Linked DNA regions of Lepisosteus oculatus. The protein of the gene in region 4 interacts with the protein of the main gene of each other region in a biochemical or structural test. Links are inferred from orthologs where the notes say so. Each region holds a gene or a part of one and is shown on either strand. Other genes may lie near its edges.

Evidence for each region.
Region 1: the proteins of lrrk2 (region 4) and nek1 interact on a protein array, tested with the Homo sapiens proteins (2 studies listed by BioGRID and IntAct, with this or other methods). The link is inferred for Lepisosteus oculatus from reciprocal best matches to the Homo sapiens genes LRRK2 and NEK1.
Region 2: the proteins of lrrk2 (region 4) and chgb interact on a protein array, tested with the Homo sapiens proteins (3 studies listed by BioGRID and IntAct, with this or other methods). The link is inferred for Lepisosteus oculatus from reciprocal best matches to the Homo sapiens genes LRRK2 and CHGB.
Region 3: the proteins of lrrk2 (region 4) and anks4b interact on a protein array, tested with the Homo sapiens proteins (2 studies listed by BioGRID and IntAct, with this or other methods). The link is inferred for Lepisosteus oculatus from reciprocal best matches to the Homo sapiens genes LRRK2 and ANKS4B.

Annotation. Positions count from the first base shown.
Region 1 is NC_090696.1:51,779,730-51,786,880, reverse strand, and holds the start of nek1 (serine/threonine-protein kinase Nek1), read right to left. Parts: upstream 3,024-7,151; 5' UTR 2,942-3,023; intron 1-2,941. UniProt on the Homo sapiens protein: Phosphorylates serines and threonines, but also appears to possess tyrosine kinase activity. Involved in DNA damage checkpoint control and for proper DNA damage repair.
Region 2 is NC_090697.1:40,572,821-40,580,160, reverse strand, and holds the start of chgb (secretogranin-1), read right to left. Parts: upstream 3,024-7,340; 5' UTR 2,827-3,023; coding exon 2,781-2,826; intron 2,257-2,780; coding exon 2,210-2,256; intron 2,090-2,209; coding exon 1,996-2,089; intron 1-1,995. UniProt on the Homo sapiens protein: Secretogranin-1 is a neuroendocrine secretory granule protein, which may be the precursor for other biologically active peptides.
Region 3 is NC_090714.1:16,472,437-16,479,379, reverse strand, and holds the start of anks4b (ankyrin repeat and SAM domain-containing protein 4B), read right to left. Parts: upstream 3,024-6,943; 5' UTR 2,764-3,023; coding exon 2,420-2,763; intron 1-2,419. Other genes in the region: slc25a17l (peroxisomal membrane protein PMP34), read left to right, coding at 4,772-4,900, 5,328-5,388, 5,828-5,894, 6,175-6,329, 6,462-6,578, 6,707-6,852. UniProt on the Homo sapiens protein: As part of the intermicrovillar adhesion complex/IMAC plays a role in epithelial brush border differentiation, controlling microvilli organization and length. Plays a role in assembly of the complex.
Region 4 is NC_090702.1:37,348,513-37,355,942, forward strand, and holds the start of lrrk2 (leucine-rich repeat serine/threonine-protein kinase 2), read left to right. Parts: upstream 1-4,421; 5' UTR 4,422-4,967; coding exon 4,968-5,106; intron 5,107-5,366; coding exon 5,367-5,452; intron 5,453-6,382; coding exon 6,383-6,489; intron 6,490-7,058; coding exon 7,059-7,147; intron 7,148-7,430. UniProt on the Homo sapiens protein: Serine/threonine-protein kinase which phosphorylates a broad range of proteins involved in multiple processes such as neuronal plasticity, innate immunity, autophagy, and vesicle trafficking.

The DNA of each region.
Region 1 (7,151 bases), on a different chromosome or scaffold from region 4:
GACACAGTCAATCAGAATTACTGAAATGGTGGATGATATCAAAAGTATGCTGGTAGAGCGTGTTAAAATGAGCAGATGCTTTTCACTGCAATTAGATCAGTCTTTAGTCGATTTGGCCAATTTGCTTGTTTACGTTAGATACTGTACGAGTTTGAGGGTACGTCCCATGAGGACTTTCTGTTCTGTAAACCACTACCAACAGAAACTACAGGAGAGCACATATTTCAGCTTCTGAATGAATTTATCGAAGAGAATGGCATCGACTGGATAAAATGCGTCGGAGTTTGTACAGATGGTGCTAGGATGACAAGCCGACACAGCGGTGTAGTTACACAAATTAGAGAGGTTACTCCAGAAATGAATGGACGCATTGCAACATCCACTGCGAGAACTTTGCAATCAAGAAAATGCCTGACGATTTAAAATCTGTTAGACTCTGTTGCGAATTGTATCAAGGCTCGAAAAATGAATTCACATCTGCTTTACTCGACCAAACAGGCTCACCCCTCTCACTGAAATGGTGCTTTTTTATTATTTTTTAATAAAAAGCTGTGAGAAGCCACCTTTAAAGGCGCCATATCAAATAAAGTTTATTATTATAATATTTATTATATGTGTATGTGAGTGTGTGCACGCATGTGCGCTCATGTTGGTCATTGAGGATTTCTGGAGTTCCTATGAGAAGATGACTTGTAGGTGGTACTTGAATGCTTTGGTTTGATCAGGGGTGGTACTTGGTCCAAAACATTTGAGAACCACTGTTCTATATTATGTTACATAATAGTACAATCATCTTAATAACTTGCATTCTAAATCCCAATGAGAGAAGAAGCAGACTCCAGCTAGCTAGATCATCTTTTATTTTAAGAGAGAGAGCTGAATTTTGAAATAAACAGTTTTGATAAGTCTTCAGATAAATTAACTCCCAAATATTTAATGGATGTTTATAGCCAATTTAGCTTAAACCTTTCTTTTCATTGATCCAGTGGGTTATAATCACACAAAACTTCAATTTATTTATATATTCAGTTTATAGTCCAATATCAAATTTCTCCAGTAGATTCACTATCCTAGCAAAGAAATTCATTAGGATTATCCAAATACAGCCGGATATCCTCTGCATACAATGCTTGCAATCTTCTTGTCCTTTGAAAATCTTTGATTTTTGGGTCTTGCCTAATCCATTCTGCCAGAGGTTCTATGTATGAAGAAAACAGGAGGTTTAGCAGGGGACATCCTTGTCTTATACCTCTCTTTAAGCAAAATATGTCAAAAACATTTCTACTGATCTTAATTTGCCCTGTAGAATTTGAATAGATTTTAATTAAATGTCTTAATACATCAGCAAATCCAAACCTCTCTAATGTTTGATATAAAAATTCTGAACTGAATCAATCAAAGTCTTTCTCTGCATCTAGTCTAACCAAGATCGCCCATATTTTTTATCCTCTATTACTTGATAATACGGAGAGTATGTAATGTTATCTTGTCTATGTGTATTCTGAAATAATCCTGTTTGATCTAAATTTAATTGTTGGGATAAAAAATTGAAGCTTAAATCTTGTAGCCCACATTGAGTACAGAAACTGGTTGGTGAAACCCACATTTAAATCTTTTCCTTCTTTTGGTTTAACAAATATAACAGCTTTGTTCCTTCCCTTATCCAATTATAGGTGGGCAAGCCAACTGTTTTTGAATACCTTATGGAATTCACTGGAAAGCCATATGTCCCTAGTGGTTTATCAGCCTTACAATTTGAAATTAAGATTAATCATTTACTCAGTTAATTACTCTACTTAAATTTTGACCCCCATTTAAAGTAGGGAGGTTTAGTGAGTATAATAAAAAGGAAATGTCCTGTTTATTTTGGATTTCAGACTGTGCATACAGATTTTAGTAATATTCAACAAAGGTTGAATTTAGAACAGTGCAATGCAATTTGGTCACCACGTTAAAAAAAAACATATTGCTGCTCTAAAATCAACAAGATACATTTCTGGGATCACAGAACTGTCACACTGACAAGCTGACTGAACTTGAAGAATACAACAAGAATAACTGACTAAAGCAATCAAAATCCTTAAAGGGAATGCCACAATCTACACAAATAACTGATTCAGAACCAAAGAAGTGCATTTGAAACTTTCAGGATTCACAATTTCAGTAGAGGGTTGTGAGAGCGGGAACAAGCTACCCAATCAAGCTGTTAAGGGTTAAAAGCCGCAGATGCCGTTTATAGGGTTTCACCCACTAGCAATCAATTGAGCTAGATGGGAGGACTGCCCTACACTTGTTTTGTTTAATTTATATATTATTACCTAGAAACGTTTCTAACTGGAACTGTATCTTTTTAATTGTAATTCTATAAATAACTAATTTTCCAAATTTGCTTCACCAAATTTTGTTTGCCATTGATAATAATGTGTAGCAATATTTGTTTTTATGAAGTTCAGTTTCATCACACAGTATAAGTCTGACAATTCGATTTTCAAGAGAAACTTACACGTTTCTCACTAGCATAAACTGTAGCGAATCTCTAGAAACCTACAAAAGAAAATAAAGCCACCAATTAGTCTGTTAACAGACTACATTTATCGTAGACACCAAACATCTTGTACAAGTTTTGGTCAAATAAATTACAACTTTTTTAGCACTAGCTCTACCATAATTATATTTAAAATCCATATACCAGATGTAACAAATCGATATAAAATGACGAACTATTGAATGAACTTTTAATAATATTAGGAGTGGATGTACAAAATGCGTATTCTAATATTACGAGGTCAAGATGCTGCTCAAGCAGGGCCTGAAAAGTGTCAGACAGGTTAAGAAAATCAGTATCAGTATTTTTTATTTGACAAAAACCACGCGTATACGAATACAGGATAAACTTCAGATTAGTGATAACAAGAATATATTTAAAAAACATTTTACATACCATTGACTTGACCAGGTTACAATCCTCAGCGGCACCAAACCGCTTCAATTCACCCTCTCGCTCTCTAGCTAACTTGCTGGAAGTCCCGCCCTTGTAAGTATGCATTATAATTCGTTCACGGTGCTGTCAATCTTCTTCTAATGCTTTGTTTTCTCTGTTTGTTGTGGCTCAAGGCTTCTCCGTGGCAACCGTCTCCGCCCTGTGTAAAACAGAAAGGGGGTGGGGCGAGCCCCTTGCAGAAATTCACTTGCAGAGGAAAACAAATGCAAAATTATCAAAACAAGTTACTCTAAAATATGAGGTCTCAAATTGCACCAGTTAATTATTACAAGCTTGGAACCTACACTGCGTTATATACTCGATGACTAAAATATTCATTAAGCCGTCTCTTTAAATTTCAAGTTTATATGGACGGGAGATGCAAAAGTAACCTGATACTGGTGATACTGCTCACGCTATGGTTACAATAGACAGTTATATCTGTTTTAAAATAATAGTTTTTAATTTTAGATTTTAAGATTTTATTCACACACATTTTCTGCTTGGTCTTCTGTGAAACCACAAATACATCAGCAGCTGAAAGTACTTTTAATCTGTCTAAGTGAACAAATCTAGATTATTGACTTTTCAGTTTTACTAATCAAATGAACTTTACATCCCTTTTATGACAGGGAGACACTATTTCAGAATGATTCCCAGTCACCAATATTTGGTCTGTTAATAATACAGGTCTCCCATGCTTTGCATTGACCCCCCACGAACTGTCCAAATTGTTCTTCTATCCTTAGCAATAGTACTAATAGTAGCTGAAGAATTTTCGTTTTATATATCTTTAGAGAATATTTTATTTTCTTGTAAATAAAGCCAGGAAAGCTACTGAATACCAGGGTTTAGGTACAAAGGTTCTGAGCCACATTATATAGTAATCTAGGATATTCCATAGTTTGGTCAAGCATGATGATACAAACAATATGGAAATCATGAACAAACAAAGATGATGAATGGTGTATGTGTAACAGGTTAATTACAAACTGTGGCTTGTTACAGCACTGCTCAAGGGCTGATCAGCATAAACATATTTAATCCAAAACATCACAAAGTTGTGGCATTTGCACTTGAATCTCAGATGGAAATTGCTGTGACTGAAATAAATCTGACACCCTTATCTTCAAAACTTAAACAAAAATCAAACTCATTTGCCAAAAACGGGTCTCTGCTGCAGGATATTTAACACTCCTAGAGACTAGAGAGTTACATCCTCACAAGAGTCTCAGCAGTCATCATACACTACAAACCCTGTAGTTCCTGTAGAACTGGGCATTTGCTATAAATAATCCCTTCATGAAGGCTTTGTCATATTGAGAAGGCATCTGGGGTTCTGTGCTATTTTGTCATGTCATTGATCTCCTGGGGCTTCACATCCTCTGGATTTCTGTACTATTGAAAGATTCCTGTTGGATTATCTGTTATTAATACATTGTACAAAGGATGTGAAGGTTCTTATGCCAGTAAACAAGTCACGTTATTGCAGTCCCAAGGATAACGTTTAATTATTTTTGTTAATTTGAATGTGAGGGTTATTATTAATTGTTGGAAGTGAAGCACGTGTATATTCCAAATGTAAAACTTTTGAATGCTGCATATTATATCATTTAATTTAAAATGGGCAATGCAAATTAGTTACTCCATTTCATAGCTCTTTTTTGCTTTCAAGATAAATATATTTTTCTAATTTGCATGTAATCAAATAGTGCTACTGTACATTATATTTTGTGTATAAGATTTAAAAACCCAACAATTTTGTAACCACTTTATCCAATAAAGGGTCACAGGGGAGCCAGAGGCTATCCCATCAAGCAATGGGCACTAGGAAGGATACAACCTGGACAATATGCCAGTCTATGGTAGGGCACCCACAGACAGAGAAACAAACACACCAGGGCCAATTTTCCCAGAAACCAATTAATCTACAAGTCTCACTTTGGACTGTGGGAGGAAACCAGAACACCTGTAGGAAACCCACTTAAACATGTGGAAAACATAAAAACTCCACAACAGAGAACACCCCAGATGTAGAATTGAACCCAGATCCCCAGTGCTACAAGGCAGCAATACTAACCACTGCACCACTTTGCTAGTATTACTAAACATAAACATACAGTATTTGAATACCTTCTTAACAGAGCCTTAACTGCAGTGTACTGTATGATATTTTATAATTATAACAAATAATGGTAAGGTGGGTGTCATTTTGTGATTAATGTGTCAGCATGATTAGGATTAAAACCAAAGAAACTCCAGAAGATAATGTACTGTAACCTTGATTTCTTTTTGTACACAACGGAATAAAAACATATACACAGGTACAAGATATCAAAACACTTCTTTTGATGTGATAATTAGCCCACTTTCCCAAAACATCACCCAAAGCCCTTCTATCCTCACTAACTTTTACAGATGCACTACAGAAAGCACACTGACAGGTTGCATCACAGTGTGGTATGGCAACTGCAGTATTGCTGACCACAAAGCTCTACAGCGGGTGGTGAAAACTGCCCAGTCCATCACTGGGGCTGCCCTCCCATCTATACAGGACATTTATGACAGACAGTGCTTGAGGAAAGCTCTAAGCATCATCAAAGACCCCACACACCCCAACTACAGACTGTATGACCCTCTACCATCTGGAAAATGGTACCAGAGCATTCAGACCCAGACTACCAGACTCAGAGACAGTTTTTACCCCTACGCTTTAAAACTATTAAACTCCCAGCCTCTCTATGATCTGAACCTCACAGTGCCTTCTTTCTTACCAAAAACTCAAACACACATTGAAATCTACCTCCATGTTACATGTCAAAAAGCTCACTCCCCATAATTTTCTATCCTTTTATTTCATTCTATTGATGCATGTTTTTGCATATCTGATGTTGTTTTGCACATTACCTGTTACCTTTTGTTGTTTTGCACATTGCCTGTTGTTGTTTTTGCACACTGCCTGTTGTCTCTGTCTTTCTTGTATTATACAATTGTATTGTTATTTTTTTGTACTACGTATTGTCTGAGAGCTAGCTAAATAGCATTTTGTTATACCATATACCTGTATATGAGTACGATGACAATAAACTTGAACTTGAACTATGTAGGTTATTATATCAACACTTTCATCATACAATTGCAAAGCAATATTAGTAAGAAATTCTATGTTTTGTTGGTGGGCATAGTGGCACAGTTGTTAACATTGCTGCCTTACAATGCTGGAGCCCTGGTTTTAATTCGGACCTGGAGTAATATCTGCATGGTGTTTGTATGATCTCCATGTACAGTATGTTCATGGATACCTTCATTACTAATGATTTAACGTGGTCCCAGGATGTAACTGGAGCTACAAGACAGGCACAATAGTGCCTTTACTTTCTCAGACAAAAATTAGCTCTATCTTTAACTGTCCTTACTACATTACAGGTGCACTTGAAAGTGTGCTCACATGTGGCATTACAGTGTGGTTTGGCAGCAGCTCGTTGTCTGACCAAAAGGCGTTTTTAGAGGACAATCAGGTCAGCCCAGTCCATTATTGGAATACAGCTTCTCTCTATTGTGGACATTTTTACAATGCGCTGTCTCAGGAAGGCTGGAAGTATTACTAAGAACAACAATCATCTTGGTTTATCACTTTTCTCCCACCTTCCCTCTGGTAAGCGTTATAGGAGCATAAAGGCACGAACCTCCAGATTCAAAGACAGATGTTTTCCGCAAGCTGTCAGATTACTGAATTCTACCCTCACTACTGACTAAATCCATCTACATTATCACACCCACATTATTACTCACACTGATGTGTTTTTTTCTCTTCTCACACTGCTTGTCTGACTTGCTTTTTTAAAGTTGTATGTTATTTAGCTACTTGTTGCTGCTGCTGTTCTGTGTTTATGTTTTGGTGTTTGTATCAGATATTTCATTGCAGTTGTGTATATGACAAATAAACTGAACTGAGATGGATTGTATTTTAAGACATCTCAGAATATCAAGCATATCATTTTCTAAACTGTATTCTATAAAGTACTCTTGAGTAAATATTTTGAGTATTAGATGTTTATCAGAGGTTATGGGTCTAAGATTGAATAAAAGCATAAGGAACCTTGTCAGATGCATATAATTAAAATAAATTATTTGCATTTGTATTGCACTAATCATGTCAAAGGATCCAAGA
Region 2 (7,340 bases), on a different chromosome or scaffold from region 4:
GAGAGTGAATATTGCAATATAACTTGTAATACACAGCCTCATTTTAACTATTCTGCCAATACAATATCATGAATGTGGAAAAAGAGGCATGAAACAGAAAATACATCTCAGTCTAACAGCATTCCTAAGACAAAATAGAATACCATTAAAAATGTATTTTATGTGAAGCAAAAGCAATTTAGATGAACATTAATGGTTTATGCATCCATCTGATTTGTAAATCAGCACAATTTCTTTAGCTAAAATACGATCTCATATTTTATTGTACTGTATATACTACATTGGAAGTAGATACATGCCTGAGATGGAAATGGCACAGACAATTTTATTATATCTTTCAAGTTCAGTGATCATATTTCTCATTGTTTTCATTCATGCCCTGGAATTCCAAATATTTCTCAGAACATTATGAAAAAAACTGCCCAAGAATAAACAACACCCTTGGTGACCTCTGCTGCTTTTGTAGAAACACCACGTTGAATTATGATATTCATTTAGCACCAAGCAATTGATATAATTCATAATGACAGCACACTATGGTTTTAAGAAAATGTTTTGATTCAATATTACTTGAAGGTCTTAGAGATGCAGTTTTTAGAAATATTAACTATGATTAGCATTCAAACATATCAACAGTTTTAAGATACTAGGGTTTTGTGCCTACATTCTAAAATGTGTGCCTTATTTATAAATACAAAAACACATGAGTCTCAGAAGCCTTGCGAAATTGCTTTAAGCACTTTCCAAATTATTATTATAACTCTGGTTTCCCCCCCTCTGACTCTTGTATGCAACCCTTACTGAAGATATAGGCTGCCTGGACGTGTCAGTGGACTTGGGACCAGCTCATGATCCAAGTGATATCAGTCTAAATAATAGGCTCCCATGAGGGGTAAAGATGTTCATTTTCTAAAAGCACTGGTTGATGTGTGAAAAAGTACAGAAGACCATAGAAACTGATGTTACGAATATATTATTGATTAAATTGATAGTTTCTTAGAAATGCGTCTCACTCAAAAAGAATACCGTAGTGTCAAGAAGGTCCTAACACTGGGTAAATAATGGAATTGCTTGAAATATTGCTTTATTTTGCTGTTTAGATGTTTAGAATACAATGATCTGTAATCTGTTAGTGCTTGTTCACTCAGGATAAGCTGAGCTTGTTAAATAAATAATTTAATTATATGTTTTTGACGATACCAGGAGACTACAGACAACATTTTCCTATTATTATTTTTTCTATGTCATGCCCACATACATAATACCAGATTTGTTAATAATCACTTAATGATTTTAAATAGAGTAGATACAGTATATAAATACATAACATGGGACTATTATGAAGAATAAGATATGTAAGTGAGATTTCTATCAAATTGCTAACACACAACTAGCCCCAGCTAAAACCATTTTATACTTCATCTAGTGCAATTGACATATAGTATACAGTCAATACAATGTGCAAATCAAAGTTAGTAACACATCCAGAGCAGAGCACTACACAAATTACAGTAATCTGTCTGGAAGCTAGTGTGAGTTCTCTGGGAGATTTAATGCAGTGGAAATGCAAGACAAGGTACAAATGCATCTCACATTTGGAGTGCAAGACTTGAGCTGTCTGGGATATATACAATTAGACCATTTTAGACATAGAATTTTGGACATATTAATATTTCTGCATATCACTGCTCCTAAACACTACTTTAGTTATTTGTATAAAGAAATGGTTCTATAAAATAATAATGCAGCAGAAGAATGAATGATAAAGACAATTGGTGTATGATACTTGTTCTATAAATCCATATAAACAGCTCATATAAATATTTAAGGACTAATATTTTAATACAAATTGAATTCAACATTCTTAATTTCTCACACATTGGCAAGTCCAAAAGGTGCTATCGAAAACGTTTGTTCGCATTACAACTTCAATTCAATTAAGTTCATTTGATTGCTGAAGTTTCAAATAACGAGTCAAAGCTGTTCTGAACTTACCCGTTTTAATAATTTCTTTGCATTCTGGATCGACAGGAGCAGCGTTTGGTTTTGAAAGTGCGTTGGAAATTACTTCGGCAATGCAACGAGTGACCTAAAATTAAATACAAATATATTCGTTATTTAATATATTCCTGTTTTAGCAGCAGGAGTACAAGTCCTGTTTTTTTAAGAATTCCTTAGATTATGAAGTTTAAGAGGAATGAAAACATACCAAATCCTCCTTCTTTCTTTCTTTCTCGATAGGCACAGATGAGATATCTGTCAAGCACAAATTAAAAAACATGTTTAAAATTAACCTATACATTTATGATAGCCCTAAAAGTGGTTATACCACTATCACTGACACTGCTTCTGCTACTGCTTCTGTAACTACCGCGGCTACTGTAAGGAAAGAGATTGTGCTATTGTAATACGTTTTGTAAGGTTTAACCTACATTTTGTAAACTATATATTATCCTGTTCTTATACAATCCATCTTCAGCATGCAGTAGCAAAAGTGCCATAAATGTAAAAATGTAAAAAGGTACAAGCTTAATATGGAATCGTGATAAGCAAAACAAACACACATTTATATATATATATAAATTAAATAACACAATTCTTTTGGTGTACAAAAGGTATTTCAACTTTGAATCTCATCTACGCGAGCTGCACCATATCTCTAAAATAACCCTTGAACATGTCTGCTGTCCACGGTGCTGAAAGCACGATACTCCTTTTCAATACGCATGAAGTCGAAAGGAAGTTTTAATACGAATGGAACTATAAGTCTGCTTTCCTACCTCCGAGGAAAGAAACCGCAAGAAAAACAAGAATCATAAGCTTCATTATGATAAAGTGCTGCAACTCTTATTTTTCGCAGGATATTATTGTTGTTGTTTTCCCCGATGTTATCAGTGCTAAGCGAGTAAATAAGTCAGACGCGACACTAGTCAACTGCGTCGTCTTCCACCGAAGGCTTTACATCGAGGGTCTCCTGCTCACTACAGCAGGCAGGCTCCTTCTGCTTTGATATAAACAGGGGGGAGGCACATGAAACAAGCTACTGCTTGAAAAGGCGTGGGAGGCTTCTCTTTTACTCGTGACCTGCGTCATTAACCCCCCCCCCCCCCCCTCACCCCCAGGAAAGTGCTCTTCCATATTCAAATCTTCACCAAGAATACGCATAAATAATATTCTATCGTTGAACTTCATGCGTTGTATCGAAATATTAAACCCGTTTCCATTATTTTCTTTTTTTCGGTTGAGTTGTAAATTACAGCTTTTTATATTTTTTAAAAGTAAAATAAATTAATTAGTAATTTATTTGGTGTATAGAATACAAAAAGAGAGATCATACTTATATAATAATGTTAGGTTTTGTGGCAAATAGACTTGAAACGAAACGCCAAATGTTACGTTAAAAACGTAAGGAAATGTTGAATTGAGAAAAAACGTAGTTACTTCGAATACTTATCAATCACAGATTTATTAATAGCACTAAGGCTTTTTTAATATTTCCTCAAATGTATTTATTTAGATCGCAGTGAAACACTATCAGCATGCAGAAAAGGAGTGAGGCAGCAGAAGTTTTCTATTTCGGAATTTTGAATTTTGTACAAGGAGAATCTGGAGTTTGATATGCTGGCATATACCGTGAATTTTAGTAGAATGTCATGTTTCTAAATACTTATTATACACAGTACCCCACTGAACTAGAGATAAATATGATCTATTTGTAGGAGTGACCTATTGTGTCCAAAGTAATGGGAATAGTTCAACAAATGGTGAGTCCCCAAATGCCTGAGAACTGTAAAGAACCTGCAGACTGAGTCTTTCCATAATTATGCTGTGCTATGGGAAATTAGAATGATATAAGCAACTGCACAAGAGATACAGTATGGCTGTTGGTGCAAGTGTCTCGGTCAGCTGCATCACTGAATACCTGGCTAATGTATCAATTTAGCAGTCTCCAAGGTTTACAGGCAAATAAATACACCACCAATAGGAAGTGGAATTCCAGAATACCAGAATTCCACTACCTACTGTATGCCTCAAACAGAGCTGTGTCAACTGCTGTGGCTTGAATGGTTTCATAGTTTCACAGACATTTGTGAACACGCAGCAAAACATCTTTTTATACTGGCTGCTCGACTGATCCACTATTAGCAGAAATTTCTAATGTCATCAAACCTGCAAACTGGAAACATACAGTATATAAATATGAGTGTATGAGTTGCTGCACATTTAGTCTTGACAAAGGTCATGAAGATACTTTATAGAAGTCATTTTTGCTAAAATAGTGCATGGACATGGAATTTAAGAACCAATGATAAAACCTAAAAACCATGAATAACATGCATGGAATAAAATGGTGGTGATATAAATTTATCCATAATTAAAACAAGGCCTTGTATTTAAAATGAAACAATGTGAAAATTGAACAATGTGGTGAAGATTATTTTTGCTTTCTTATATCAATATTTATGGAAATCCGATACTATATTTCATAAAAAGAGAAAAAAGATTCCATAATTATGCCTCCTTTCTGTTGTGAAAGGTGTTTGATTGATTTCTGCAGATTAAGATTAAGATTTTCATTCTAATCTAGAACTATATATAATAACTATATATATTAATAACTGCTACATTTATAGCTGCATATGCAAAACATTTGATTTTTGGAATTAATGTGACTATATTTCTATAAGGTTTCAAATAACAAACTCTGATTTGTACACATTAACGCTATATTCTGTGATTTATTGTTAAGTAGGATTGTTAATTAATTTTTCATTATCCAGCTGTGAGCCTAATTGTTTGGAATTTAAAATGTCATTAACATTGTATGTAGAGTGGTTTAGTGTAGAAATAACATCAATATTTTGCACCCTGTTCCTGCTTTTTGTTGTATGTAATCAGCTTCTGACAATATTCAAATCAGTTTCTTTGAGGTGTTGCATTTCTTTCCCATGTGAAGTCAAAGATGAATAAACCTAGATCACAATTACAATTTTTGAAGATGTAACAGAAGCAGTAAATTGCAGTGTCTTTATTATTTTAAAACTGCAAATAGGACTATCATTGTGTTCCATCAGGTAGATAATTAAGACAGGATAGCTTTACTGAACATTTATAAATATTTGATTGCCATGAAATACCATTACAATGCATATTACGGTATATATGTATAGGGATTGCAACTAACACCATAAATTATTTTTAATCCCACATTTACAAAGGTATAAAATGTCCTAAATTCAGGCACCGACTGGCACAGGCATCGGTGATCAGTAGTATTTACAGGATTGAGGGTCAATCTGTAAATACAACAGAAATATATTAAAAGAAGATTAATACAAAATAAAATTGGGCTTACTGAAAAAAGAAATACATACAACATGCATTGCAAATACATACACGTACGGTGTGTGGGGAAAAACTATGCATGTAGAATGATGTCTTGAATGATTAATGCTCAATTTAGACTTTTGATTTACTTATTTTAATTATTAACCTGTTCTGTCTCGGTGTTCATAGCAGCATTGGGCCAGACTGAAATAAGACATTTTTTGGGGTGCCTGCAAAACTCATATTTCCGTTTTCAGTTTTCAATAATTCAACTATGCTGTAACAGATTAGAAAAATCCATTTCATGAAGGATTCTGAACAATCAGTAAGCTCAAGTGGTAAATTAAAAGACTCATAACTTCAAGATTCAATATTTTGTTGGAATTTAGCAGCACATATTATTTCATGGTAGATTTCCACTGCATTGCAATTCACACTAGAAGACAAAGAGTTATAGTAACACTTAGAAGCCCCTCAGCAGTATTTCTGACTGCAGTATTCAAAACAATATAAATAATATATAACAGAAGGGAAAGCAGTAGATTTAATTTGATTTTATATGCTAAGTATTACAGAAAAACTTTTAAACAACATCATTATACACATATATAGATTTTGAAGATGAATAATTGTGAATGTTCTCAAGCTAAATTTGTTTTAATTTTAAATTTTTTAATAATTCTAATTTTAAAAAAAGATTTCAGCAAAATGGTTCTGCCCCACTATATTAGAAATAAAGTTTTTTTTGACCATATGCTATTCATATATTTATCTATGAATTGGCTTCTTTACTCTGCTCTCCTCCCCTCTGATAGCTGACGTGTGTTGAGCGTTCTGGTGCGCTATGGCTGCTGTCGCATCATCCAGGTGGATGCTGCACATTGGTGGTGGTGGAGGGGATCCCCATTACCTGTAAAGCGCTTTGAGTGGAGTGTCCAGAAAAGCGTTATATAAGTGTAAGCAATTATTAGTTATTATTATTATTTAGTGGCATAATTAACCATATACTTCACAGGCATATAAAACAGCTATAATTGTACCTTTTCTCTGATAAACTGATTAAATCTTGTAGATCACTCATTCATATTGATGCGTCATTATGCCAGATAAACATGTGTTAAACATGATATTGATTTATTTTTATTAATACTGTCATGAACTATGTCAAGAATTCACACACAGATATGAACTACACTGTATACTCAGGGCACTTCAAAACTTATCATGTGAAAAAATCTTATCATTCAGGTATCTGAAGATATTAAAAAGTAATAACTGTAGCAGGAAGAGACACCAAATAAGATGTCCATATATACCTGTGAATACAGGAGCTGTTAGGAGGAATAAAGAAACTAACTTTCTACACAGCTAATGTTCCTAAGTAATCAATATAATGATATCCCTTTCACTGTGAGTAAATTGAATGGGCAGACATTAAAAAAAACAATTGCAAATTATACCAAAAATTTCACTTTGTGGTACTGGTGCTTTCAGAAAGTACACTGTGCTAAACAAGACAACACAAAGAGATGTGCTGGATTTGTGGAATTGAAAGCCTCCAGGGTTTTTAGTTTCATGACAAATTGAAGACACAGTCACAGCAGTTGTCTGTCTAGAAAAGGTCAGACTTGACAGGATAAATAAACCTGCTTTTAAATTATCCCACAATCAAACAGATTGCATGAGATTGAAACCAGTACTCCTTTATATATCATAGTCTTGCTATGCTCTTTACTTTAATAATGTAGAGAAATTATAAGGAAATTGATGTTTAATAAATATTCTTAATCCTGTATGTATTGCAATTAAATGCTACAAATTATTATTACATTTATAACTTATTATCTCCACAAACATAATCTTTAGACTGGAGTTTCCAGATCCCAATCCTGGTCGCTCACAGGTGGCTGATGGCTCAGTATCTTCTGATTTTTTTGTTCTACTCTTAAATGTTAGAGGTTTCTTGCTGTTTGTAATTTAAAATCTCCAGCATTTGAGAAGCAAACAACTTG
Region 3 (6,943 bases), on a different chromosome or scaffold from region 4:
AAAGATAAATATCCGAAAGCAATTGATTATCCTACTGATTTTCCAATGGAAACAGCTTTTATCACGGTAAGGAGATCAGGGTTGTTACAGTATGTTTGCATGTGACAACCGCCGAATACTTAACTGGTGAGGTATTAAGAATAAAGTCCTCATGTATATTATCTACTGGCTTGTAAAATGCCCGCTAGGTGATAGTCGCTTAGCAACTACACAAATGTCTGTGTGAGTCCTGCCATGGACAGGTGTCCCATCCAGGGCGTATCCTGATTTGCGACCAGTGCTTCCTGGGATAGGCTCTGGGCCAGCGTGACCCTGAACTGGCCTTCATTGAAATTGATGATGATGATGATGGTGATGATAGTGATGATTCTTGTTAACTATGTTTTGGAAAGACACATCAACAAACTGACAACTTTTTCCAATTTTAAAGAGAAGAATAAAAACATAAAATAAAGTAATTAGCTGTTACACATCATTTATTGTTCTTTCACCCTCATTACATTAATGTTCACTAAAATACTTTTTAAACAATGTAAGATCTTTTCTGTTATAATGACTAAAATTCTCTCTGGCTCTCTCCTGCTACAGTGTGAACACATGCGATTGAAAAGCTGCAGAGTAAAGTCTCAAACCTCTCTGAACTGAAAGAGCCCTTTGTGTTGTTTGAGCATTATTCTGTTTTGCTTGATTAGATCTCTGGCATCATTCAGCTCCTAAAAAGCTTCAGCTCCCAAAAAGCTTTGCAAGTGACGCAAACTGGGGCGAGAGTTTTTAAACGATATTTCACGATACAAACGCAGCAAAAAAAAAAGCCATTGTAAAATATGTCAAGGCTTCAACAGGCTGATGTGGTCCTGCAACAAAATCCCAGGAGAAAAGTATGTTTGTTGAAATGATATTCTGTTGTTTCAGAAAAAAACGATGTTTGATCACTTTGCCCGTGTGATTAAAAAGCTGCACTGATAACTGCTGAAAGCTGTTATATACAGCAGGTGATAATCTCACAGCAACCTTTGATACCTGCCCGTGGTGTCCTTTCGCGTTTCTCAAGCTTTGACAAACCCACAAGTACAAGTGACACCGGCTGCACGGTCCCCAGATCAGTTCCCCCACGCGTTCACTGGTCTGGGCCTCACGAGAGCCGCGTGCGGCTGTACCATCGCCACCTTCCCAGAGATCAGTGGATTCCCTGGGAGAAAGCGCGAGGAAGGAAGAGCCCAGCTCTTGTCTTGGGGTCCGGATTGCTTGACCTGCTGTTGGAAGTTCCGGGTGTTTGGAGACTGAACTGAGTGGAGTTGAAAACTGGAGGAACTGGTGAACAAAAAGAAAAACCGTGCAATGCAAAAACAAAGAGCTCAGCTGACCTTGCTAGCTAAGTGTCTAGAACTCTCTGTGGTGACGTTATGTCTGTGTTAGAGCACTGAGGAAGTGTCTTCTTGCAGGGTATAAAGGTCTCATCCCATGAAGAGACTTTGCAGGTATGTGCAATACCACCCACCCCACCCACCTTTGAGGAAGCCGACGTGAGCAACTCCGTTCTGTTTTTGTTCTGCCTTCTGTTTGTAGGCTTTTGTTTCTGAGTGTATTCCCTTTTTTTTCATTAAAATGGGAAGCGCTTGTTTACAGCACTTGGGGGAGGCTGGTTTGATGGTCGCTGATCGCAGTATAACTCCGGCATCATTCTTGTCGGGTCGTTTGGCGAACGGAAAATGAAAGCACCAGCTACACGATGTTCAAGGCGTTTAAATTAACGTTAAGTCACTCGCGCCATCCGCTTTCTGATCGAAAAACTCTTTCAGCACCTGCTGAGATACCGTTAGATTGAAGTCAAACAGATCAAAGAGATCACAGGCGGAAGAGATCGATGAAGGGGAAACCGGCCGATATAATATTGTAAAGTATCCCGTAATAATATCCTGTACATCGTTAAGACGCTGTGCGACAAAATCAACGTCCGAATACATACGGAATATTTTAGAGAACATTAAAAAGTAAGGAGGGGGTGAATATAAGTACATTTGACATATTATTGAAGCATAAGTAGGAGGAAAAATACCATTTATGTGATCTCTATTTGCTGGAGAACAGAATTCACATCGTGAATATTTTTAATTAAAAAAATCTCTTGATGGATTTTTTTTTGTTTTTGAGAAAACTAAAAGCTTTTTGACACTACGCAAAAGGGAAAAAAAAGTTAAAACTACGTTGTATTCATACATGGAAATGGGACTTTCAAGCATTTTGCACACAAAATATTAGTTTAAAAAAATAAGGGTAGGTTTTGCCATTCGTGGTCTACAGAAGTGTACTTTTTAATCCTGTCTGTCCTCTACGGTCAGGTTTTCTCTGGGGTTTCGCCCCGGTGAGTCGCCTCACCGGCCGCTCGACGAAACGGATGCCGGCTCCTCGCCTTACTCACCCCCTGCTGCAGATCAGCTGCAGCGCCTCGAGATGTCCGTGGAAAGCCGCCCAGAGGGTCGGGGTCATGCCGTCCTCATCCGGGGTGTTCAGATCCTTCCTGGTACCCTCTTTCAGCAGGTCCAGATAGCCATCGATGGCCGCTTTATGGTACCTCGTAGACATGATGACCGGTGCCGCTCCTCTCTCTTTCTCAGCTTGATGGCGAGACCTCGGGACACAGACCAGCGCCTCTACCGCAGGACGCCTCGCATGATCGCCCCCGCCAGCCTGGAAAACAAGAGTCTCTTCAACACCAAGGGCTGAAGATAAAGGCCGAGTCGCCACCTCCACCTGCTGGGCCATAAATCGCAGGCAAAGTCCATCTCTCCTGGCTCGGTGTGCATTGAAGGTGGCGCAAATGGGGAGACGCCAGTTTGTACGGCGAGGACTTCATCGATCCGCTCTTTGCGGTGTGTTACAAGAAGGAGAATGAAATTCACCCTCTCCCTCCTCTTCGACAAAAATCAAAATATAATTGTATCACATATCGAGACATGGAGTGACTTGATCTGTGTTATATCCAAGGAGACATTACAATAAAATAAGATATCTATTTTGTTTCTTTGACTAAAGTCACTTTTTGAACGAGAAAAACTAAAAAAATAATTTAATAATGTTCTAGTTAAGGCTGTAACTACATATGACTTAATAAGGCTTGTTTTCTAACATGTATATGTTAGAAATAATAGGTTTAGTCCGTGCCGAAAACAAATTCCACACCTGAATAGGAATAAACCTATTACTTGTTCCTTTCCAGCCTACGCATGGTGACACAGCTACCCACCTGAACTATGTTAGAAATATATACATATTACTTAATACCGTACGTCTTAATAACCCATGATTCAACTATGCACACAGTCATATCTTTCATAACAACAAAATTGCTGTATGGGTTTTAAAATTCTATTTTAAATATATTAATAGTTGAGTTGAACAGGCTCGCCCTGAAATAAGTAGCTGCTGTAATTAAGATGATGCGCCTCCGCTCCGACACGCACGCAGATCTGGAACCAGGGGGTCTTAATTCCTCCGGGTTGTGGGAACAGTTTGTTCTGTCTGCTCAATGTGCTCATTAAAGACGTGAGGTCAAAGGAGGAGCTCTTTTCGGTAGGTCAGTTAATTCTCTTGTTATTATTGTACCACTCCTACAGATGAGCCTACAGTGCCGCCATTGTTACACTGTCGGCTAGCCGAGATCATTGTAGGATTACACCGTTAAGAGCCTGGCTTTAACACAACGGAAAACATTGCTATTCACGAAATACTTTTATTTCGCAATCAACGAGTCGCCCTACAGCAATATAAAAGCAAACTACACAATGGTGCAATAGACATAAGTAATAAAGTTACCCACAACAAAATATAATTCGTGCAACATGAATTCAGCACCAACCAACCCCTTTAGACAGTACTAGTATCTCCATTAGTATGGAAGACAGTGGAAGTGAAATGATCTAGGGTAAACCAAAGTTTCTTTAAAAAAAACTCCCAAAACGAAATATTTAAAATTTTCTTTTGACAAACGCAAAAAAAAAGAGCAGGGGATATTAAACATAAAGAGATTTGACGGAGCTGATTCTAATTAAAATATTCGCCGCGAATTCGGCTCCTCTTGTTTTTTTCTTCCGCCGAGCCAGTCGTGGCTAGTGAGGTGTGAATTCTTCAGCCCTTACTTGTGGAAAAGCCGGCCCTGTCTGGGCTCCCTCGCCTGCCTGCGGGACAGCCCGGGCCCGAATCAGTACCGGGACTCTCCTCTGGGGGGCGCTCGCTAAAACCCACGTGACTCGAGGCTGCCCGCAGAAACCCAGACAGACCCGCACCCTCAAAAGACCCCAAGAAAACCCCTTAACAGCACCCCAATACCTCGCCTAATGGCTCACCCTGATGTTCCCAACCTACACTACTTGTCTGACTTTTTTTTTTAAGTTGCATGTTTTTTTTTTAACTTCTTGTTGTTGTTGTTGCTGCAGCTGTTCTGTGTTTCTGTTTCTGTTGATTTCTTTTACTGCCTTTGTATCGGAGCCTAAGTGCAAATAAGCATTTCACTGCGCTGGGGCAGGTGACAACTAAACTGAACGGAACTCGCGCAAACCCGCTGCCTCCTGCTCAGTTTCTCCTGGACTCCCGCAAGTCGGACCCGAAACACCTGTATGTCGGGGATCCCTCCCCCCTCCTCCCCGCCCTACAGGACACAGAGAGCCATCTCCGGCGTAGCTCCTCCTCTGCACGCAGGAGGAAGCGAGGAGGGAGGGCCGTTTGCCGCAGTCAGCCCGGGAGCGGAGAGGAGTTGGAGCCGGTGGTGTTATACATGCGCCCTGGCCAGGACCGCGCCGAGATGTCGCCCCCGCCTCAGCAGGAGGAAATGTCGGAGCCCCCGGTGGCCGCCGTCGGCCTGCTGTCTTATGAGACCCTCGTACACGCCGTCGCTGGGGCTGTGGTAGGAGACTCGGGGCAAACTGGACGAGCTGAGCTCGGATTTCAGGGTCTCAACGCGTCTTTATGTACTTTTCACTTCAACGCCATCGCGCTGGTGCCAGAAGTCTCGGAAAGTCATGTTTTAGTGCGAGTTTTTATCTGACCGGCGCCTAGCTGCGGGTTCTGTATCCGGTCTGCGGACCGAGACAGAGCCCCGGCCAGCGTGCTTCACGGTAACACAAAATACAAACTACCGCATTGCTAAATACGTCAACGCAGATGACAAGCGTCTCATTGCAAAAAGTAACCGTGCCAAGGTCTGATCGTTCAGGACCTTTTTTTCTTTCTTCTTTCCGCCCCCGAGCGGAAAAAGCCCCGTCGAGGGGCGGGTTGAAAGTGCGGGCTGTTCCGTGTCGGCGCTAACCCCCCGCCGCTCCGTGCCTCCGCAGGGCAGCGCGACGGCCATGAGCGTGTTCTTCCCGCTGGACACGGCCAGGATCCGGCTGCAAGGTGAGACGGGCAGGGGTACCAGCAACGCTTTCGGTTCAGACCAAACTCTTGACCAGCACAAGACCCAGACCCGCCGCGGGACAGCTGCACTGTGCTGCAGGTGCCCCGTGATCACATGACCTCCTGACCTCATGAACCTGGGTCTAACTGGGCACAGCGCCCACTGGGGCCATGTCTGTTCTGTTTGAGGGCAGTGTTTATTTTGCTTTGTTCTCGTTATTGTTCTGAAAGGGTTAAAAGGCGGCTCTGATGTTAACTGAGGGTGATTTTTTATTAAAAACAATTTGACTTCGGGAGGGTGAAAGAATGGGCACTGTGTCGGTCTTTATTCGAAGAGTCCCCCAGCGCTGAGGCTCTGCTCTGAGCTCTGAGGGACTGCACACTGATGGTCAAGTTCCGGCCGCCGCGGTGACGGTTTTGTGTGGCTGGTCACTTTCAGTGGACGAGCACCGGAAGTCCAGGTCCACTCCCGTCATCCTGGCCGAGATCGCGAAGGAGGAGGGGGTGTAAGTACAGCCGGGGTCGGCGTCCGGGGCGGCTGGGGGGGGGTCTCGTGACGAGCCGGACCTGCCGCAGGGCGCATGGTCCCCTGCCTCCCCCAGGGGGAGGAGGCGCTAGTGAGCAGCTGCTGCGCTCTGGCCAGGGACTGCGTTTGCCCACAGCAGCGCAGGTCGGCCATGGCGGAGAGGGTAGTTGGTCGGGGGCCGCTTTGTCGCGGCTCGGGGGGGCCTGAGCCGCCGCGGATGTGTGACGCCTGGGAGCGGGCTTTCCCTCTTCTTCCTGCAGCCCGGCTCTGTATCGCGGCTGGTTTCCCGTGATCTCCAGCCTCTGCTGCTCCAACTTCGTGTATTTCTACACCTTCAACACCCTGAAGGCCCTGTGGGCGCTGGAGAGGGGCCGGTCCCGGCCGGGCAGAGACCTGCTCATGGGCTTCATCTCGGGTGAGAGGGCGCCGCCCACAGTCTAGACAGAACTCGCGTGAGCCGAGAAGAGGTTGTACTGAAGCCAACGTGTGAGGCGTTGGTTTCTGCAGGCTGAACTCCCAGCCCGGCTGAGCTCACGGTGTCTTTCAGGGGCCGTCAATGTCCTCCTGACTACCCCCATGTGGGTCGTCAACACCAGGCTGAAGCTGCAGGGAGCCAGGTTCAGGAACGAGGAGCTTCAGCAGACTCACTATAAGGGCATTTTCGGTGAGCCACCCTGTCAGACCACGCCGCGTGTTGCCTTGGCTTTTAAAGCTGGGCCTGACATGAGACCACATGAGTCAACTCCTGTCCTGCAGGCACTGCGTAACACAGCCCCCCCCCTGTCTCTCTAGATGCCTTCTCCCAGATCGCAGCCCGGGAGGGGCTGGGGGCCCTGTGGAACGGCACGCTGCCCTCCCTCCTCCTGGTCTTCAACCCCGCGGTGCAGTTCATGTTCTACGAAGCGATGAAGAGGAGGGCCGGCCGCGGCCGCAGGAAGGTGAGAGGGCCCCTCGCCCGCCCCTGTCAGCTGCAGGCCCTGCCACTCGATCCCGAGCCCCAGGCCCGACGGGGAAAGAGCGGGAGCTTTG
Region 4 (7,430 bases):
GTTTATGTTTTTCATAAAGTTTATGTAAATTATACATTATTATCGTTTTGAATATTAGCTGTCTTCTGAGTATACGAAAAATATGTAGCGGTATAAATGTAAATCTCAGTTCCAAGGGCGAAATGATGTTTCCATATTTCTCTTTTACGTTTTACTGTAATAGTAACTTAACCTCGTTTCTTTAAAGCTCGCATGCCGATGTAATACATATATATTATATCAGTATTGCCAGCAGCCATATCACCCTGCATCTAACAACTGGGAACCCACTGCAGTTAAGCAGGTATTAGCCTGGTCAGCACCTGGATAAAAGACCTCTGGGAAAACAAAGGATACTACTGGAAGAGGTGTTAGTGTGGGCAGAAGAGGGTGATTACTCACTGTGTGGGTTCTAATGCCCCTAATGATATCTGAAGAAAAAAGGTGAATGTAAATTGTGTTAGAGGGCTTATCACTTCTCATATGCCACATCTAATTTAATCTCAAAGTACTGTATGTGTCACTCACCTTATTTCAGTTTACTTACATGAATAAAGCATTTTTTCAGGTCTGTGTACACACTTGGGGTAAATGTTATGCTTTCACTCTGGATTTTTATTAAAATCCCCCTCACTCTCCCTTAAAGAAGGGAAAATCAATGTAAATCAATCAATCAAGGTTTATTTATCAATTACACAACAATACAGCATACAGCGGGGGTTGTCAGCAATGACATGCTTTTTCCACAAGCTTGCAAGGAGAGATAGGACAGAAGTTGATCGAATTAAGGTTACAAGTAGAATACAATAAATTATACAATTAACAAGATTTACACAATAGCATAAGGAGATATGGTAGGGATAGAAGATAGATACTTTATTGATCCCGTGAGGGAAATTGCAGCGCAACAGCAGCTTAACACAGACAACACAGCAACAGTGTAACGAATGATAAAATAATAATAATAATAATAATAATAATAATAATAATAATAATAATAATAATAATAATAATAATAATAATACAATACATACAATACAATCAGTACAGTGAGTGCACTAAGAAGAGTTCCTCAGTACAGAACACACAAAGAACAAACCAGAACAGAACAGTACACAAAAAAGTCGTATTGCACAATATAAATATAAATGTATTGCACAGGTCCCTGGCATATATTGCACAAAATGGTTGTAAACGGGAAAAAGAAAAAGAACAGATGTATCAGTTTACTGTTCAGTCCAGAAACAGGTCACTGTGTCAATGTTGCCACTGCCCAGATGCAAGGTGGATGCGTTGTACAGTCTTATGGCAGAAGGCAAGAATGACCTCCTGTAGCGCTCCCTGTCGCACTGTGGATGGATCAGTCTATTGCTGAAAGTGCTCTTCATTTCTACTAGCATGTCATAGAGGGGATGGGAGACGTTGTCCATGATGGCCTCTAGTTTGGACATCATTCTCCTCTCACCCACTACCTCCAGGGGGTTCAGGCCAGACCCAATGACAGAGCTTGCTCTCCTGATGAGCTTGTTCAGCCTGTTAGAATTCACTGCTCTTATTTCAGAGCCCCAGCATACCACCACGTAGAAAATGGCGCTCGCCACAACCAACTGATAGAACATATGTAGCATCTTACTACATACATTGAAGGACCTGAGACTCCTCAAGAAGTAAAGTCGGCTCTGACCCTTCTTGTAAATGGCCTCGATGTTCTTAGACCATTCTAGTCTATTGTCGATGTGCACTCCCAGGTACTTGTATGAGTCCACCATCTCCATGCCACTCCCATGGATGTGGGCAGGAGTAGGTTTGACCCTTTTCCTCCTGAAATCTACCACCAGCTCCTTCATCTTTGTTACATTCAATTGCTGGTGGTTCTTCCCACACCACTCCACAAAGCTGTTGACCAGTCCGCTGTACTCCTCCTCCTCCCCACCCTTGATACATTCCACAATTGCAGAGCCATCTGAGAACTTCTGCAGGTGGCACGACTTTGAGTTGTATTTAAAGTCTGAAGTATAGAGGGTGAAAAGGAATGGAGAAAGAACTGTCCCCTGGGGAGCCCCTGTGTTACTTACTACCTGTTCAGACACACAGTTCTGAAGTCTCACAGACTGTGGTCTGCCTGTCAATAGTCAGTGATCCATGAGATAATGGACACACCGACTTGCATCTCCTCCAGTTTCCTCCTTAGAAGTAAGGGCTGAATAGTATTGAAGGCACTGGAGAAGTTGAAAAACATGATCCTTACAGTATTGCCAGCCTTGTCCAGGTGTGAGTAGGCCCTTTGCAGCATGTAGATGATTGCATCCTCCACACCAACACTGGGCTGGTAGGTGAACTGTAGGGTGTCCAGTGAACTAACCAGGGGTCTCAGGTGGGATAAGACCAGCCTCTCCAGTGTCTTCATTACGTGAGAAGTCAGTGCAACTGGTCTGTAGTCATTGAGGACAGAGGGGCGCTCTTCCCTTGGTACCGGGACCAGGCATGATGTCTTCCAGAGCACAGGGACTCTCTCCAAGCGCAGGCTCAGGTTGAACAGTCGCTGGAGCAGTCCACTCAGCTGATCAGCACAAGCCCTCAGAACTCTGGGACAGACGTTATCTGGTCCTGTGGCTTTACCCTGGTGCAGCCTCTTCAGCTCCCTCTTCACCTGGTCAGCCGTGATGGTCAGCCTGGCCTGGGGGATGGTGCTCATAACGCTGTCAGTGCTGCTGGTGTTAATGGCGGGGTCAGAGATGTCAGGGAAAGAAAAAAAACGCAGGTACACCTTATCAGTTTCAAGTGGACTGACTATTTATCAGTGGTTGTTTGGGTAATTGCTGGCTGCCATGGTTGGCAGTTTAGCAGTTTTATTGCCTGAGGGAAAAAGCTGTTTTGAAATCTGTTGGTCTGTATGCTTCGGTATCGTTTTCCAGACAGTAGTAGAGAAAGGTGGGTAGCTGCGTCAGCATGCGTAGGCTGCAAAGGAACAAGTAATAGGTTTATTCCATTCCATGTGTGACACCTGAAGAAGGCTCCACGGCCGAAACGTTGTGTTCTCTTTCTTCTTTTTTTCAGTAGTAGAGAAAGCAGATTATGGTTGTGGTGACTGGGGTCCTTGAGAATAGACCTGGCCTTTATGAGGCATCTAACAGAGTAGATATGTTCTTTGTTCGGTAGCACGCAGGCGGTGATGTGCAACAAAACATGATGATGGACTACAAAACACTGGGATCAATTAGGGTACAGTGACACCGGAATAGGGTTATAATTGGGTACATGTATAAAAGGGTCCAAAACCAAGGAAACTATTTACATAAATCCGGGCGATCTCGCGACCGTATACACCGGTTCCGCCATTGGTCTGCCGCACTGGCCAGCGGCACTCCTAGTCCCTGCCCTGACCACCACTACTCCCGTCCTGCACCTGCAGGCGAGGGCGCTACAATAACATACTTCAATTCTACATTTTAACTATACTGTATATCCTAGTATTTTATTTGTCTTTTTAATTTCTTCTCTTTACTGCCTAGAAGATGCCTATGATGTGTAAACATAAACACCTAAGTCTTTTCCCTAAACCTCTTAGTTAGAATATTTGTATTTATAGTTTTATTTATTTATAGTTTGTAGTTATAGTATATATATATTTTTACCACCAGCATGCCATACGCTGCACTTGTGTACACTAAACACAACGTGCACGGTCGTGTTTTATTTTTACTAAATCGTTATGTACAGTATTTCATTTGCCGCTTCTGCAATCTTTGCCAATCCCCCTATTTTGGCATCATCTGCAAACTCCACTAAAGTTTACGAAGAACACTGGTCCTGCTACAGATGCCCGTGATACTCGACTAATTACTTCACCCCAGTCTGAGTATTCATGCCCTATTTGCTCCCTGTTTTCTAGTAACCACTTCTTAAACACTCGCGTTTCCCTGAATGTTATTGAGAACTAGCTTGACATTTGCAATTAGTTTGAATATAGAGAAAGTGGAAGTAGCAGAAATAGCTACACAGATTTGACAAAAATATAAGGGATACACTGCTTAAACTGTATTATTACAGAAATAATATGAAGAAGTTGAAGCTGTGTAGGTGGTGTGACCGCTAGTAAAGAGGGAAAGTTTCCATGGTGAGATGTCATCAAAATGTACTCGGTTGCAAATAAAAGTAGAAAATACAACAGGAAGAGTTATATAACTCTAAAATCATGGGTATACAGGCTGGATCAATGTACACTTGTGTAGTAAAACTTTCAGTCGCATTGACTAGATCATTAGAAAGTCTCGCAAACTCCTACGTGATATTTCGAGGCTACCTAATCTAATCTAAATTGTTTATAAGTAAAATATAACACAGGAAAGTACGACTGTCGTCTGCGGTCCTGTCAAAAATACTACTCAGACGTTCTACCGTAAAGCAATTCGTTTTTATTACGTCTTTATGTTTGGGGAAAGGTTTCAGATTTCACAATATTCTGATAAAGAAAAGTAGAGCAATTGAATGCGATTTAAGTTAAAAGCCATCATTTGCAAAGTTAATTTTTGAACAAGAAAGCCTGCAAAGTCGAACCACAGAACAGAGCTTCTGTATTGTTCAGTATTGTATATTTCAATGGAGGAAACAAAACAGATAGCCTTCATCTACGAAGAGTCATGTGATTGCAGTGCTATTAAAAACGAATGAAGCAGAAACGATGTTTAACTTCTATATTTAATTAAAAATAAAAAGATATACGTTGTGTTACTCATCTGCTTCAAAGCTTGAACTGTTTTGTTTATGAATGAGGAGGACTTCCTGCAATGTTTTTTCTTTCAACCTAGCTACATACGTCATGTAATACTGCGGTGTGAAAAAGTTTGTCACATACTGTATTGCATGTCACTTTACCAGTGTGTTGCACTTACTGTAGCACAGTGGAAAAACAACTTTACGGGCAACATGGCTCCATAAGTAATCATATTTGCCCTCTTTTTTATTCAACAGATTGTGACTTGTGAAACATGGCCAATAAGGAGGAACTAGAAGAAAAGCTTAAAAAATTAATTGTGAGGTTAAAAAATGTCCAAGAAGGAAAGCAACTGGATACACTTATTCAGATTCTTGAGGATTTACTCTTCCTTACTTTTGCTGGCGACTGTGGTGAGTAGATGGTAGATACAGTACTATATCGATGTTGTCCTTTAGAAAACATACTTTAGGCAGATCTACTTGAATTATAGAACAATAAACTAATTTTACTTTTAGAACTACGATTAACTCCTGCCTCTTCACACTCTGTGCTATAAAAATAAAGTCTTCTCGAGCTACAGTATAGTTGCAAATCACTGTAAATCAGTTATCGTTGAGCATCGTATCTACTTCAAAATGGAATTACTGATAATACTGTCTATTTTTTTCAGCAACAGAATTATTTGAAGATAAAGACGTTCACCTGCCTTTAATGGTGGTCTTAGATTCTTACATTGACAGTCATGCTGTACAAGAGGTCAGTGCGTATTATTTACTGATGCCATTTTAACGATGGTGGTGGTTTTAGAAAATATATTAAGACCAAGCACCAGATGATACGATTTTGGGAAAAATAAAAAATCTATTTTTCATTGCAAGAGTTTATTTAAAAAGTGCAATGTTCACTGGGGAAAAGGTGTTTAGTTAGCTTTTTCCATAAAATATACAGTAGTTATTTATGCATTATTGTTTTCTAATTAATGGTAATGTTTTAATGTCCCCTTTTTATTAATTCTTACCTTAATACTTCTGAATAGTGTTGTTGTTGAGTTTTATCCTGATTGCTGTACAGAGACATTAAAATTGAAATTCTCCATACTGTAACAACTCTAATAGTATCAAGTTTTAGTAATACTGTCTTAGAAATGTCTTATATATTTTTCTTATAAATGTATTTATAAGAAATGTGCCCATGGAAGTTAAAGTGCTTGGTTGATAAATGTTTTAAATTATGTATACAACAGTTTTTATTTTTGTGATTATGAACTAATTAAGGGTGATTGAACGTTATAGGGCCAACCTGGAAGACGCTGAGGTTATTGTACATAGGAAACTTGCCTTACAGGAATTCCAAGTGCTTTTGAAGCATGTCCATGAACAGCTTTAGGAATCTAAGTTTGAATGCCTGAGCATCTGGCTTCTTGTTCTTGGGAATGGAGGAAGAGAGCCTAAGTTAAATATTTAACCCAAAAGCAGTTTTCATTGCATTTTATGAGTGGTATCAGGGTGTGTTACTGCTCGATGTTATAATACATTCTTACTTTATTTAGTAAGGCAGAGAACACATCCCATACCAAATGGCCTGAAATGCCTTTTAAGAACTGATGAACGCTTTGGAGTCTTAGTAATTGTTTTCTGATGAAAAATCAACAGTACTGATCTAAAACTGAATGGGTTTGATCCTAAGGTGGGATGGTCATTGCTCTGCAGACTAATGGAAGTTTGCCCTTCTACTTTGGAAAAGTTATCAGCTCCACAAGTTGAAAAAGACTGGGAAGTACTGGGAATACACCAGTAAGTATGCATGTTTATCTCTTCTGCAAATTCATAAACTGATGTAAACTTTCATGTTTATGTTTTGTGTTTCTAGATGTGAAGAGGTTTGCGGGCTTGGGTGATAATAAGGAATTGAAATGACCGCAGTCCACGGCATTTATGTTCCTGCAGGGTTTTATTAAAAATAAATCAAGCTTGAATGTTTAGTTTACTTAAGTAGATGCTTAATGAAGGAAGGAGGTGACTGGGGTGTTTGGGGAAAATTTGTTTGGGATGACATGAACTTTAACTTTTTTTAATTTTCTTTCTTTAATGTACAGTACAAGGAAGGAGACACCTAGGTTGCAGGTCTGCAAGTTTTACAATAAGATGTTGAGTCACTTCCTCTGCAATTTTGAGAACCACAACTGCTAACAGGCCTTTGTTAACAAGAGGATGTGATTTTTTTCTTGTTTGTGCCATTAATTGGGTCTGCTTTTAGCACACTGTTTGAAGCAGCTGAAAAATACAAAAAGATAAGCCTTTCTGTTTTTATTTAGGTTGCATGTCAGTCTTTCTTATTTTTCTCACAATGTGTTTTTACAAAGGCAGATTCTGAAGATGCTGTCTTTGCACAATGGCCATTCAAAGCTGATGATGATTGGACTCAGAGCTTTATCGCATCTTTTACAGTCAGGTTGGGGCTGTTTAAGTTTTATCCCAATTTGATGTACTGTATACGCATATAACTCAGAAATGGTTATATGTGTTATTAGTCGACGTGTCACGTACTGTATCAGTTTTTAATTAAAATCATATAATTCTGTATGTTTTAGTACTTTGGAATACATTTTTTCTCTAGGCACCCTCTTTTTATCTGTTTTAGATAATGAACTCACTTTACATTACTTGTATTGTCTGTGTAATAATTTTAGATGAAGTAACATGCTTAGATTTTTAATTATGTGATTCTCTCATTG